3 linked regions of the Canis lupus familiaris genome follow. The protein of the gene in region 2 interacts with the protein of the main gene of each other region in a pairwise test. Links are inferred from orthologs where the notes say so. Each region holds a gene or a part of one and is shown on either strand. Other genes may lie near its edges.

The links.
Region 1: the proteins of THAP7 (region 2) and LURAP1 interact in a two-hybrid assay, tested with the Homo sapiens proteins (2 studies listed by BioGRID and IntAct). The two-hybrid records come from large-scale screens. The link is inferred for Canis lupus familiaris from reciprocal best matches to the Homo sapiens genes THAP7 and LURAP1.
Region 3: the proteins of THAP7 (region 2) and CCNDBP1 interact in binary tests that used the Homo sapiens proteins (3 or more experiments, as listed by UniProt). The two-hybrid records come from large-scale screens. The link is inferred for Canis lupus familiaris from reciprocal best matches to the Homo sapiens genes THAP7 and CCNDBP1.

What each region holds. Positions count from the first base shown.
Region 1 is NC_049236.1:14,251,565-14,255,209, forward strand, and holds part of LURAP1 (leucine rich adaptor protein 1), read right to left. Parts: intron 2,818-3,645; coding exon 2,296-2,817; 3' UTR 1-2,295. UniProt on the Homo sapiens protein: Acts as an activator of the canonical NF-kappa-B pathway and drive the production of pro-inflammatory cytokines. Promotes the antigen (Ag)-presenting and priming function of dendritic cells via the canonical NF-kappa-B pathway.
Region 2 is NC_049247.1:30,665,560-30,669,304, reverse strand, and holds THAP7 (THAP domain-containing protein 7), read right to left. Parts: upstream 2,637-3,745; 5' UTR 2,481-2,636; coding exon 2,305-2,480; intron 2,064-2,304; coding exon 1,908-2,063; intron 1,415-1,907; coding exon 1,274-1,414; intron 1,077-1,273; coding exon 512-1,076; 3' UTR 383-511; downstream 1-382. UniProt on the Homo sapiens protein: Chromatin-associated, histone tail-binding protein that represses transcription via recruitment of HDAC3 and nuclear hormone receptor corepressors.
Region 3 is NC_049251.1:10,346,488-10,350,232, forward strand, and holds the start of CCNDBP1 (cyclin-D1-binding protein 1), read left to right. Parts: upstream 1-1,174; 5' UTR 1,175-1,299; coding exon 1,300-1,408; intron 1,409-1,578; coding exon 1,579-1,638; intron 1,639-1,891; coding exon 1,892-1,971; intron 1,972-3,745. Other genes in the region: TMEM62 (transmembrane protein 62), read left to right, coding at 168-494. UniProt on the Homo sapiens protein: May negatively regulate cell cycle progression. May act at least in part via inhibition of the cyclin-D1/CDK4 complex, thereby preventing phosphorylation of RB1 and blocking E2F-dependent transcription.

The sequences.
Region 1 (3,645 bases), on a different chromosome or scaffold from region 2:
GACAAGTCTCGGCCCTCTTCAGGCCTGTCTCTCTACCTGTCTGTGCACAAAGGGGCTGGTCTGTCTCCTTGAACTTAGGGCTTCTGTGCAGTTACCCCGGCAATGGTACATAATGGCCACAAGAGGGTGCGCAACCTCTTCAGCTCAGAAGTGTGTAGCCTACCCAAAGGAGTACACTGCACTTCAAAAAGGAATACAAGGCTTTGAAATGAAAAGGTAGTTTACCCAAGAGTACATTACAAAATGGCAACAGAGTAGGCACTGGAAAGGGGTATCTGAATTCCCAGCCTGAGGGGGCGGCAGGTGCCCCAAGTCCAGGAGAAGTGGCACAGAGAGGGCTGGCAGGTGGCAAAGGAGGAGGGGCTAAGAATATGCTTTAGAGAGTTCCATCACCTTGAGGAGATAGGAGAGAGTCTTTAGGAGAGAGCTACAGACTGAATGTATTGCCGCCAAACGACCGGGCGCAGTGCTTGCAGAACAAAACCTGAGGAATTTAGGGGAAGTGGAGATGAACTTGGCTTCCTTCCCTTCCCCAGCAGAGAAAGAAAAGTAAAGAAACTGCAGGGGTTATTTTAGGATTGGAGGAAGACACCTCCACACAAGACGGCACAACAACTAGGTAAGGATCACCTGACATCCTTTTCTCTTTTTTGCCTTCCTATAATTAGTCTCAGGCCCCAGGAAAGACAAGGACCAAAATAGGGGCAGTTAGCTGGGGTTCCAAGGGTTAATCGCCAATAATTCATTCTCTGACATCAGTCACAGCCCCTGCTCTCACCACCGCTGTCCCTGCCGCCCAATCTGTCCCCTCCTTGGGCTCCAGGTTGGCAGCTTCTGTGAATTCTTTCTTCGTTGTAATTCCCTAGGGTCCAAGGACCCAGGCCCAGAACCGGTCTCCTGCCCTCTCCTCAGGTCCCAGGCATCTAGGGCTTGCTCTAAGGGAGGAAGGAAAGTAGGCTTCCCCCCTTCACCATCTCTCCCCCTCCCAGGATGTGGGCCCTAGGACCAAAGGGCCTCTGTCTTTCCCTGCCACCCCCCACCCCCCACCATCCATTGTAACCCAGACAAGGGGAGTTCTTGTGTCTCAGCCTCTGGCAGGCATCCTTGTGACCCTATGCTGGAAGGTCCCGGGCAGGATGGGGGAAGGGAAATCATGGGATCAGAGAAGACACCTCCCCACTTTAGAAATTATGATACACCCCCCCCAGAGCCCAGAGACTTCAAGCTTCTCCTCCCTCAGATTTCCATCAGCAATGGGGAAAGAAGGTGTTTGGGGGGGAGAAATGGGGAAACTCATCTGCATATAAAAGGCCTGAGGCCCCGAAGTGGAAGTGGAAACCGAGAAGGTGTGGAGACACAAAAGCTGAACCTCCTGGCAGACAGATTTGGAGCCAGAATACAAGAAGGGGGGCAAGCCAGGGACAGGGTAAGACAGGGGACCAAATAGGGCAGGCCATACAAACTTGTGAGAGCTGTGGGTAGAGGCCCCGGCATTTCCCTTCCTAAACGCACAGATATAGGACTACTGGCATCAGACAGGAATGTGGCCACAGAGGAAGTGAGACCCTCTGGACTAAAATGAGAACATTCCATTTAAAAAGTAAGAATCTTTCTGAAAAGAAGCACAAATCCCTGGCAGTGAGCAGCTTTCCTCCCAGGAGGGGGGAATGTCCCCACTTGCAAGAAATAATGGTATAGAGAATAAATGGTATGGTCTCACTTAGCAGCAGGGGCTCAGCCACCTGCATACTGACCCCTAAGGACCCGTACCAAAGAGAGGCTAACCCATCTTGGCAGGAAGTGACATCACTCACCAGACAGGAAGGGGTGGTTCTACCAACCCCAAAGGCTTCTGGGAGGGCCAATCCATGGAGGGTTGGCCCTGAATGTCCATGTCCCTCCACAATCTCCATCTTGGCCAAGAGGGGGGCCAAGGCTCCAAGATGTTGGGTGAAGTCATTGCACCCCCATCTCTTCTTCAGCGATCTCCTAGGGTTCCTAAATCCCTCAAATCCTGACCTAGTTGCAGGGGCACGGGAAGAGATACTATCACACCAGGAGCCACGGGCCAAGCCTCTAGAGTCAATGTATCTGTGGAAATAGCTCTAGGGTCCCAATAATGGAGGGATAAAGGACAGCCTCCTCAGGGACCAAAAGGATGGTAAGACCAGTTTCCATGGTAACTGATTTCAATGTAGCCTCTTCCTAGCCCCAGAATGAGGGAGAATAAACTTCTAGGGAGACCAGGGCCTAGCGATAAAAGAGCCACAGGAATACAAAAGGGTGGGAAAGTTATTATAAGAAGGTCACGTCATCCTGGCACTGCCCCCAGTACCAGTGGGCCTCAAAGCCCAGTTTGGCACCTTCATCCTCTAGGGGCTCAGGAGGTCCACCATGGAGCCCCTCCCCTGGGGGCTTCCATACAGCCCTCAAGCTCCCTAGTCTGCTGGCTGTCGGGTCCACCTCAGTCCTGGCCCTGTCCCCACTGGGTATAACCTTTGCCCAGTCCGTCTCAGGGCGGGGAGCACCAGGGGGGCCCTGTTCATCCAGCTCGCTGGGGGCCACCGTGTCTAGGAAGCTGCCAATGGAGAGACTGTCCAGCCGGTCCATGGAGCTAGTGTCTGGCAGGCTGTCCCAGCTGCCTCGCCTTGAGTGGCCTGGGCTCCCGCCTGTCAGGCTATACTGGCTGCTGGTGAGGCTGCTGCAGTGGCTGGTCAGTGTCCCCCTCTCCTCCAACAGCCAGCGCACAGCCTCGATGCCCTCATTCAAGCTCAACAGCTGCTGCAGGATCTTCACATCGATGGCTCGCAGGTAAACCTGGGGGAGTGGGAGAAGGAATTAGTCCGAGGTTCTGAGACATGGGTTTCCCAAATCTTTCCAGAGGCCCCATTTTGTAGCTCAGCCAACCACGCCTCAATTTCAAGAAGCCTGGGAATAGAAGCATGGTGGGTTTTAGAGTGTGGGCTTTAGAAGCAGACAGATTATTGTTAAATATCTCAGTTCTGGGGGCGCCTGGGTGGCTCAATCGGTTAAGATCAATCAAGACCCGAGGTGAAGGCCATGATCTCGGGGTCCTGGGATCAAGCCCCGCGGAGCCTGCTTCTCCCTCTCCCTCTGCTGCTCCCCCTGCTTGTGCTCTCTTTCTCAAATAAATAAATTAAAAGAATGAAATAAAATCTTTAAAAAGAATCTCAGTTCTACCACTGATTAGCTATATGATTGTGGACAACTTTCTTACATTCTCTGAGCCTTGGTTTCCTTGTTTGTAAAACAAGGCTAACTCACTCATCTACAGGATGGCCGCGAGAAGTCTGAGATGCTGTTTATTAAGTACGCAACATCGGGCTTGACACAGAGTAAGGTCTCAGTAAATGTTTAGTATTGAAATCTGATCCTACTGAGCTTTGAACTTCATAGATAGGGTATTAACTACTGAAACAGTCCAGATTCGAAGAACAGCCTAATAGGCTGTGTTGCCTGGTGCTGATTAGGAAGTGGACTGGGCCAAAGGGAGGCAAGAGCTATGGAAGAAAGAGGAAGCTAACCTGGTTCCCCAGACCCTTCAGGGTGTTGGCAGCTGTTGTTCAAAGGGTCAGAATCCTATTGGCTGGGGATTCAGGCCTTGTCTTCACCACACACCTGTCT
Region 2 (3,745 bases):
ATTGCCATCTTTGTCCGCTTTCTAGATGAGCCAGCCCGGTGGTGAGGGGGTGGCTGGTGTTCAGGTGCTGCACCCTACTGACTGCTGGACAGACTGGGCCAGCAGATGGAAGCCACACAGGTGTCCCCGCAAACTGCATCTGGCCTGGGTTTCACGAATATTTTCAAAGGGACTAGACCGCTTAAGCCTAGACTGCTTCAGGTACCAAGGAGAAGGTTCCTGGCGCCGGCCCTGGCCTCTGCTCACACCATCCTGTCCTTCAGAGAACCTGTGGGGCCTGGAGTTGCATGAGGGGGGGCGGGCAAGAGCCAGACTTCCTGCTTTCCACAGCGGAGAGCTCGGACTCCAGGGGAGGGACCCCAGCCCCAGCTGAAGCAGATAGTAGGGCCTCCTAGAATCCACTTTATTATGGCATCTGGCAGGTCTGGTGGACACAGCTCAGACCGGGTCCCTTTCCAGGTGGATTCTGAGGGAGGAAGAGCCCGAAGCTCCGGGGCCAGCAGCCCTTCACTCACGCCATGCTGCTGCTCAGCTGCATGGCAAAGTCCTGCACGTGCTCCTTCAGAGTCTGGCGGGCATCAGCCTGCGCCCGCTTCTCCCGTGCCCGTTCCTGCTGCAGCTTGCTTAGCCGGAGCCGCAGGCGCTGCTCTCGCCGCTTGCAGGCCTGCAGCTGGCGCTGGGCCTTGTCCAGAGCATCAAGTGCGGCCTCAGCCCGCCGCTTCCAGAGCAGGGCGCTGCCCACCTGGTAGCTGTGCTCATTCTGGATGTAGGCGCCCGCTGGGGGTGGGAGGCGTAGCATATAGGCTGAGGGTGACACGGGGCGTGGCTCAAGGGGGGACGGCTGTCTCTCTGGCTCCCGCTCCGGTGAGGGCTGGGCGCTGCAGCCTGCTTCATCTGCCTGGGCACCCAGGGGCCCCAGGAGGTCTGAGAAGGGGCTGCTGAGGCCAGCCTCCAACCTCCCAGTGGGGGAGGCAGGCAAAGCAGCAGGGGCTGATGCCTCTTCCACAGGAAAGCAAGTGACATCAGCAGGTGGAGGTGGAGAAAATGGAGTCGTGGGCCCCCGGCTGTCAGAGCATCTGAGAGGAGAGAGAGAGAGGGAGAGAGAGACTAATGGGGTGGGCCAAGGCCTTGCCAGATCCCAAGTCACCAGCCCATCAGAGTCCATGCTGCTGGCTCTGAACCCTCTTCAGCAAGACTGCTGACACCTTAAACACAGTCCAATCTTTCAGACTTGATGTGGGAGTGAGGCACCCTCCACCCACAGCACACATACCGCTTCCTGCATCGCCGGAGCCGGCTGATGTCGGGGGGGCCAGGTGGGTAACTGTGTCCCTTGGTCTTGGTCGTCCGGCGTAGCTTGGAGAAAGACTCAAATATCGTGGGAACCGCCCCCTCCTTCAGCCTGTGATACCCACTGTAGGGGAAAGCAGCCTGGATGAGATGGACAACACATACTGCCACCCGGGGCCACCTGCGGGGCACAGAACTACCACGCCTCCAGCACCCCGAATCAGGCTTTCCCATGCTAGCGCTGTGGGAGGTGGGTAGGCATGTTGCAAGCACGTAGCTAAAGGAATGCCAAGGTAGGCAGTTACACCAATCTCTTCCCTGCGGGACTCCTCACAGTTAAGAACTAGGCTGACCAGCCAAAAAGAATGATTTTGTTACGGACTTGCTGGCAGGACTTGGGCTGCAAGGAACGGCCTCTGAGAAAGCTCGTGTTTTTCTGCCAGTGGCACAGTCATCCCGAGGGGATGGGTCTCGCGGTCCCTGAGATACGAGGCTGGGGAGAGGCAGCCACGCTGTCCCCCAGCCAGTGACTCAGGAGCCTCCTCTCCTGGCCCTGCAGCCGCCCCCAGCGGCCAGCTCCTCAAACCCTGCCCGGCCGTGGCCGCCGAGGAGCTCACCTGATGCCCACCAGCTCAAAGCAGTTCTCCTCGAAGTGTTTGGAGCAGAAGTAGATGTACTCGGAAGCCGGGTCCCACAGGCCCTGGCCGCTAGGGTCCAGCCGCTGGCAGTTGGCCAGCCACAAGCCTCGCCTCGGGTTGTCCTTCTTGGGAAGTCTGCGGAGCCACAAACCAGTGAGCACCAGGGTGCCCGCGCTCCGGGCAGCGAGGGCTGGCCGGGCACCCGCTGCCACCTGCCAGGCCCAGGCCAGGAAACAGGCCTCAAGGAGAGCAACTTCCTGGGGATCACCCGGCAGGTAAGGGCCCGAGGGCAGAGGCCCCAGGCCGGCGGGCCGCCCGCGCCACCTTTCCGTCTAGAGCCGGTCCTACCGGCACCGCCCCCGTCACCCCTTCCCACCTACAAATACAAGCCTCGCGCCAAACAGAGGAAGGCGCGTGCGCAATCGTGGCTCCGCGAAGAGGGTAAAACGGGCGCATGCGCACGCGCGCTGACCTGTGGAAAGAGATGCCGCGGTTGCGCGTCTCGCGCGTGTCCCGTGTGCAGCAGCCGGCGGCGGAGCAGTGACGCGGCATCTGGGAAAGAGGCGGGAGCTTGGTCGTGGGCGGCTGTCCAGGCCCAGAGGGGCCTCGCGCCCCCAGCCGCCGCTCCGCGCCAGGCGGCCCAGGCCTGCCGGATCTCCCCCGGCCCGATCTTGCCCGAGCCCCGTCCCAGCCCGTTCTCCTGACTCCCGTCAGCGGCACTCACGATCTCGCCATTGCTGCGCCGCCGAAGTCTCGCGAGGAGTGGCGCGCGGGGGAAGTTGGTACCATAGAGACTCGGAAGAGCGCGGCGCGCCGCCGAGGGGCGGGGCTGGCCCCGGAAGCGGCGGGCGCCTCAGCTCGCCGCCGGGGGTGCGCCGTCCCGCACGTGGTCCCTCTTTGTGTTTTGGGAACACCTCGGCATCCAAGGATTCGCCCGGGACCCACTCTGGCCGGACTGCAAGAAAGGAGCTCCAGCGAGAAGAAAAGGGGGCCAAGATGCGAATCAAAATGACCTGACAGAGTCCAGGACCCGCAGCTACTCCGGGAGAGGTGCCGGCAATGGGGTGGGCGGGCGGTGGCCACTCCCCACACTCCGGAAAAATGTAATGGGCAGAAGGCCCGATTGTAATTCCTTCTGGCCGAGAAGCCGCTCAATTAGTGCCTAGGGGCACATGGGTGGCCCAACCAGTCGAGCATCCTGCTCTTGGTCTCAGCTCAGGTCATGACCTCAGGGTCCTTAGGTGGAACCCCTGGGCCAATGCATTTGGCTTGGGAGTCTCCGTCAGCCTTCCTCTGCCCCTCCTGTTTGTACTTGGGTCTAAATGAAAATGAATAAATCTTTTAAAAAAACAAACGAAAAAAAAAAAAACAAACAACGGCACGTGGGTGGCTCAGTTAAGCCATCTGCCTTCAACTCAGGTCATGACCTTGGGGTCCTAGGGTCTGGCAGGAGTTTGGACTCCTTTGCTCCTCCCCCCTGCTCATACTCCCTTGCTCTCTTAAAAAAAAAAAAAAAAATTAAAGCAAAGCCCCCCAAAACAAAGACCTTGCTAGAAACGGAGCCTCAGTAAATGAGTTTGCACTGGGGCAGGACTGCCTCCCTGGACACACAAGACTGAGTCAAAGTGGCCATTCCACGATTTGGAAAAACAAACTGGGTTACAATTCCATTCTCCAAAGGAACATCAAGAATGAGTGAAAGATTTAAGAACCAAAGTATTTTTCCTAATTCCCTCAGCCATGACTTGAAGCCTTCTTCTAGGATTAATGTAACTAAACATACAGACATGCTTAATTTTTTTTCTGAGAGGAAACCT
Region 3 (3,745 bases), on a different chromosome or scaffold from region 2:
CTCTTGTGAGTGTTATAAGCAAGTGTGATTGAAGCATAAAGAATCAAAGAGTTAACCCCCGAGACAGAGCAGCATATTTTTAGGAGCCGCCAATAATATGTTAATGAGACCTGACCCTCTAAAGTCTTACTAATAAGCTAATGGTTCTGTTCTGCTTCTCTTTCCAGCTGGTATTTTTTAACATACCCTTGATGGCTTACCTGTGTTGGAGCTTGCTGCAGCGGTGCTGTGGTCACAACTTCCGGTCTCATCTCCATCAAGGAAAATACTTGAAAATTATACCTGTTCACCTACTTATGTTACTGCTATACATCTGGCAGATTTATTCCTGCTACTTTCTTCATATGACATATGGCACTTTAGCTTTCTTCTTCTCCCCTTTGCGGACCTGGTTGACACTGTTGACACCTGTTATCATTCATAGTGTGTGGACTCTGAACTCTACTGAGCTTGGAACCTTTGTGGCACAGTTAAAAAGCCACCTGAGCTCCTGAAGGCCTTGTCTCACCATCCACCTCTTTGGCCCAGGCCTCTGCCCCAGCAGCAGGTGGAAGGCCAGTGATGGTGGGCAAGCTTCAGGGAGCTGCTGCACCCTGGACACCTGGGAGTTGAGTGGGATTACCCACTACTGATTCCTACAGAATGGACTGCAGAAAAATCTCTAAATAATGCCATGATTCCTTCCTTCTCCAAGAAGGCAAAGGATTGATTTACTTTTGTTCAGAGAAAGTCCTAATCAGGAGATCCACAGGTGAGGGACTGGGTGTGTGTATGGGAGTATTTTTTATGGTTACCTCGTGTAAAGTACCTAGCACAGTATGTGGAATTCAGCAGCCCACAAGGGTGCCACGTTGGGGGCAGGGAAGCTTTGTGAACTTGGGCCCTACCTTGACTACCCTTGAGATAATTAGCTCAGGTCTACTTTTCCCTCAGGGTACTGGGTTCTCTGCTTCTTTAGGTGGGGTGCTTTCAGCTAATCAAATAAATGAATGATGAATAAGAACTCTGACTGGGCCTTGCATCTGTGGGCGGGAGGAGGCGAGGCCGGGACCCTCGGGGGCGGGGCCAGGCTTCGGGAGTCGGAGGGGGCGTGGCCGGAACCCCCAGCGACGAAGAGAGGCGTGGCCCGGCCTCGGACGCTGAGAACGGGCGTGGCTGGGGCCCCGGGGCGGGGCCGGGCGAGTTGTTGCCGGAAACGAACCCGGACCTGAGGCTGCCGGAAGCGGAGCGCCCGCTGCCCTGCGGCCCTGGCAGCCGCCTCGGCCGCTCTCGTCCGGAGGTTCCAGGCGATCTCCTGAGATGGCGAGCACAGCCGCACCTACAGCCGCAGTCCCCACCCTAGATCCGCCTTTGGAGCAGATCCGGCGCTTGGCAGTGGAGCTGCGGTTGCTCCTGCCTGGCGTGCGGGGTGAGCTGACGCCTTGGGGGCTGGTGACGGCAGGGGCGGGCTCGGCTAGGGAAGAGGCCGGCGGGGGCGCCGGCGGGGGCGGGGGCGGGGGCGGGGCCGGGCCGGGGTGGCTCCGCTTACCTGTGCTCTTCCTTTTGCCACCCCCGGTCCACATGCTACACCGGCTACAGTTGGCGAAGCCCGGGAGACCACCAAGGAGTTTAATGCTGAGACGTTTTGGAGGAGACTCAGTGAGTGCCTGTCCTGTTGGGGACTTCTGTTTCTCATCCCTTCCAGGGTACTGACGACCCCTTTCCCTCCCGCTTTCCCCCCCTCCCCTCCCCCCGCCGCATCCTCTCAGTCCTTTGCACTTCGGAGGTTGGGATATGAAACACTGATCCGGGGAGGTGTTTTTGAGGCTGACATCTCCAAAGTCCATGCAGCAGCTGCAGGCTTCTCCTTTTGGCGCTGACAACACGGCCCCTCCCCTCTGTCATCCCTCAGACCGGGCAGCAGAGAACGTGTCGAGGGAAGCCACGACCCTGACTGAAGTCTTCTCTCGAGTTCCACTGCCCTCTCCGCAGGTGGGCTTTACTTTCCTGGAATCCTTGTGCTTGCCTCGTTGTTCATTAGGGATCCAGTCGTTTTCTTTCCACCCTTTACACTGAAGCCAGGGGGTTAATTTTCCACACCTGTCAAGTAAGATTGCGGTTCTCACCTCGCAGGGGTGCGAGGTTGCCAAGGGCAGTCAGCCCCTGGCATGCCGTGCTCAGGTCATTCAAATAGGTATTGGTTCAATCTGCAGTTCATCCTGGTTATTTCCTTTCTGATAAATATTTTTTTTAACACTCGCTATTTGCTAAGTGTTTTCACATACGTAATTCCCACCTGACAGATGAGTAAGCGGGCTTAGAGGCTCAGGTTAAGGTAAATAAGAGTGGAACTAGCATTTAAATTAGGGCCCATGATGTCTAAACGACACCTTTTCTGTTATGCTACATAATATCCTTTTTGTATTGAATTGCTTTTTATATTTAATCAGTAACATATATATACAATATAAAATTCAGAAGATGTCAAAGTTAAGTGTGCTAAAAAATTTATATTTCTCCTCCCCAGTTACTTTTGTATTATTCCATATATATTCGATGCACATACACACTCATGTGTATATGCCCGCTTCTTTTTTACACAAATGATAGGATACTATAAACTATAAACACTTTTCTGGACCTTCCTTTAAAAAACAATTAACAACATGGCTTGCACATTGATTCTTAGCAGCACATATGAAGTTGCTCAGTTCTTTGTAATGCTGCATGGTATTCAATAGAGTGTATATAACTATAATTTGTTTAATGATACTTTATGTGGACATTAAAGCTCTTTCCAACTTGTAACTATTATAAACAGTGCTGTGTAAATTGCCTAAGACAATCTTTGTATATATCAGAAGTGGAATTGATGGAACAAGAATTTATGCATTTTTATTTTTATTTATTTTTAAAGATTTTATTGATTTATTTGAGAGAGAGCACAAGTGGTGGGGAGGGGCAGAGGGAGAGGGAGAAGCAGACTCCCCACTGAGCAGGGAGCCCCATTCTGGCCCAGATCCCAGGACCCCGAGATCATGACCCTAGTTGAAGGCAGATGCTTAACCAACTGAGCCACCCAGTCACCCTGAATTTATGCATTTTTAAATAACCAGTTATTATAAAATTGATGAAAATAAACATGTTGGCTATGACTATGCTTTATGCTATTTTTCCAGAACTAGGTATACTTAATTTGAGAGTAAGATTATTTTAAAAATGGCATATTCATTGCCTTATTTGGTTTTAATAATCAGTGGTTTGATTCTTTTTTCAATCTATATATCCAGATGTTTTAAAATGGAAAAAATATTCTTTTGCTGCACCTACAATAAGCTCTCCCTACCCCCTCCCCCCGCATAGGTCCCAGAGAACTGTGATAAGAAAATAAGAAATGAATTGTTAGAGAGCATTTTAAAAGCTTTGCTTAAGAAAGTCAATATTTATTTCAAAAGGAGTAATATTACCTTATTTTTATCTGTTGATCCTTTCTTTCAAATATACTTAGGACTTGTTGCTAAAATTCACAGCTAGTAGGACACTATGAGGAGCAGCATAGAATTATTTTTCTGTACATGCTCAGGACAGTGGGTTCACTCATAGGTGAAAAGTTTTAGTTTTATTTGAGTTATATGTATTTGAATCCCATTTGCTTTCTTAGGATCTTAGCATGTTAGTCTACTGAAAAATGGTTTGTTTTGTTTGTTTGTTTGTTTTAATGTTTTTGGATGTTGAAACAAAGTTACATTGTCATAAACAGTTTTAA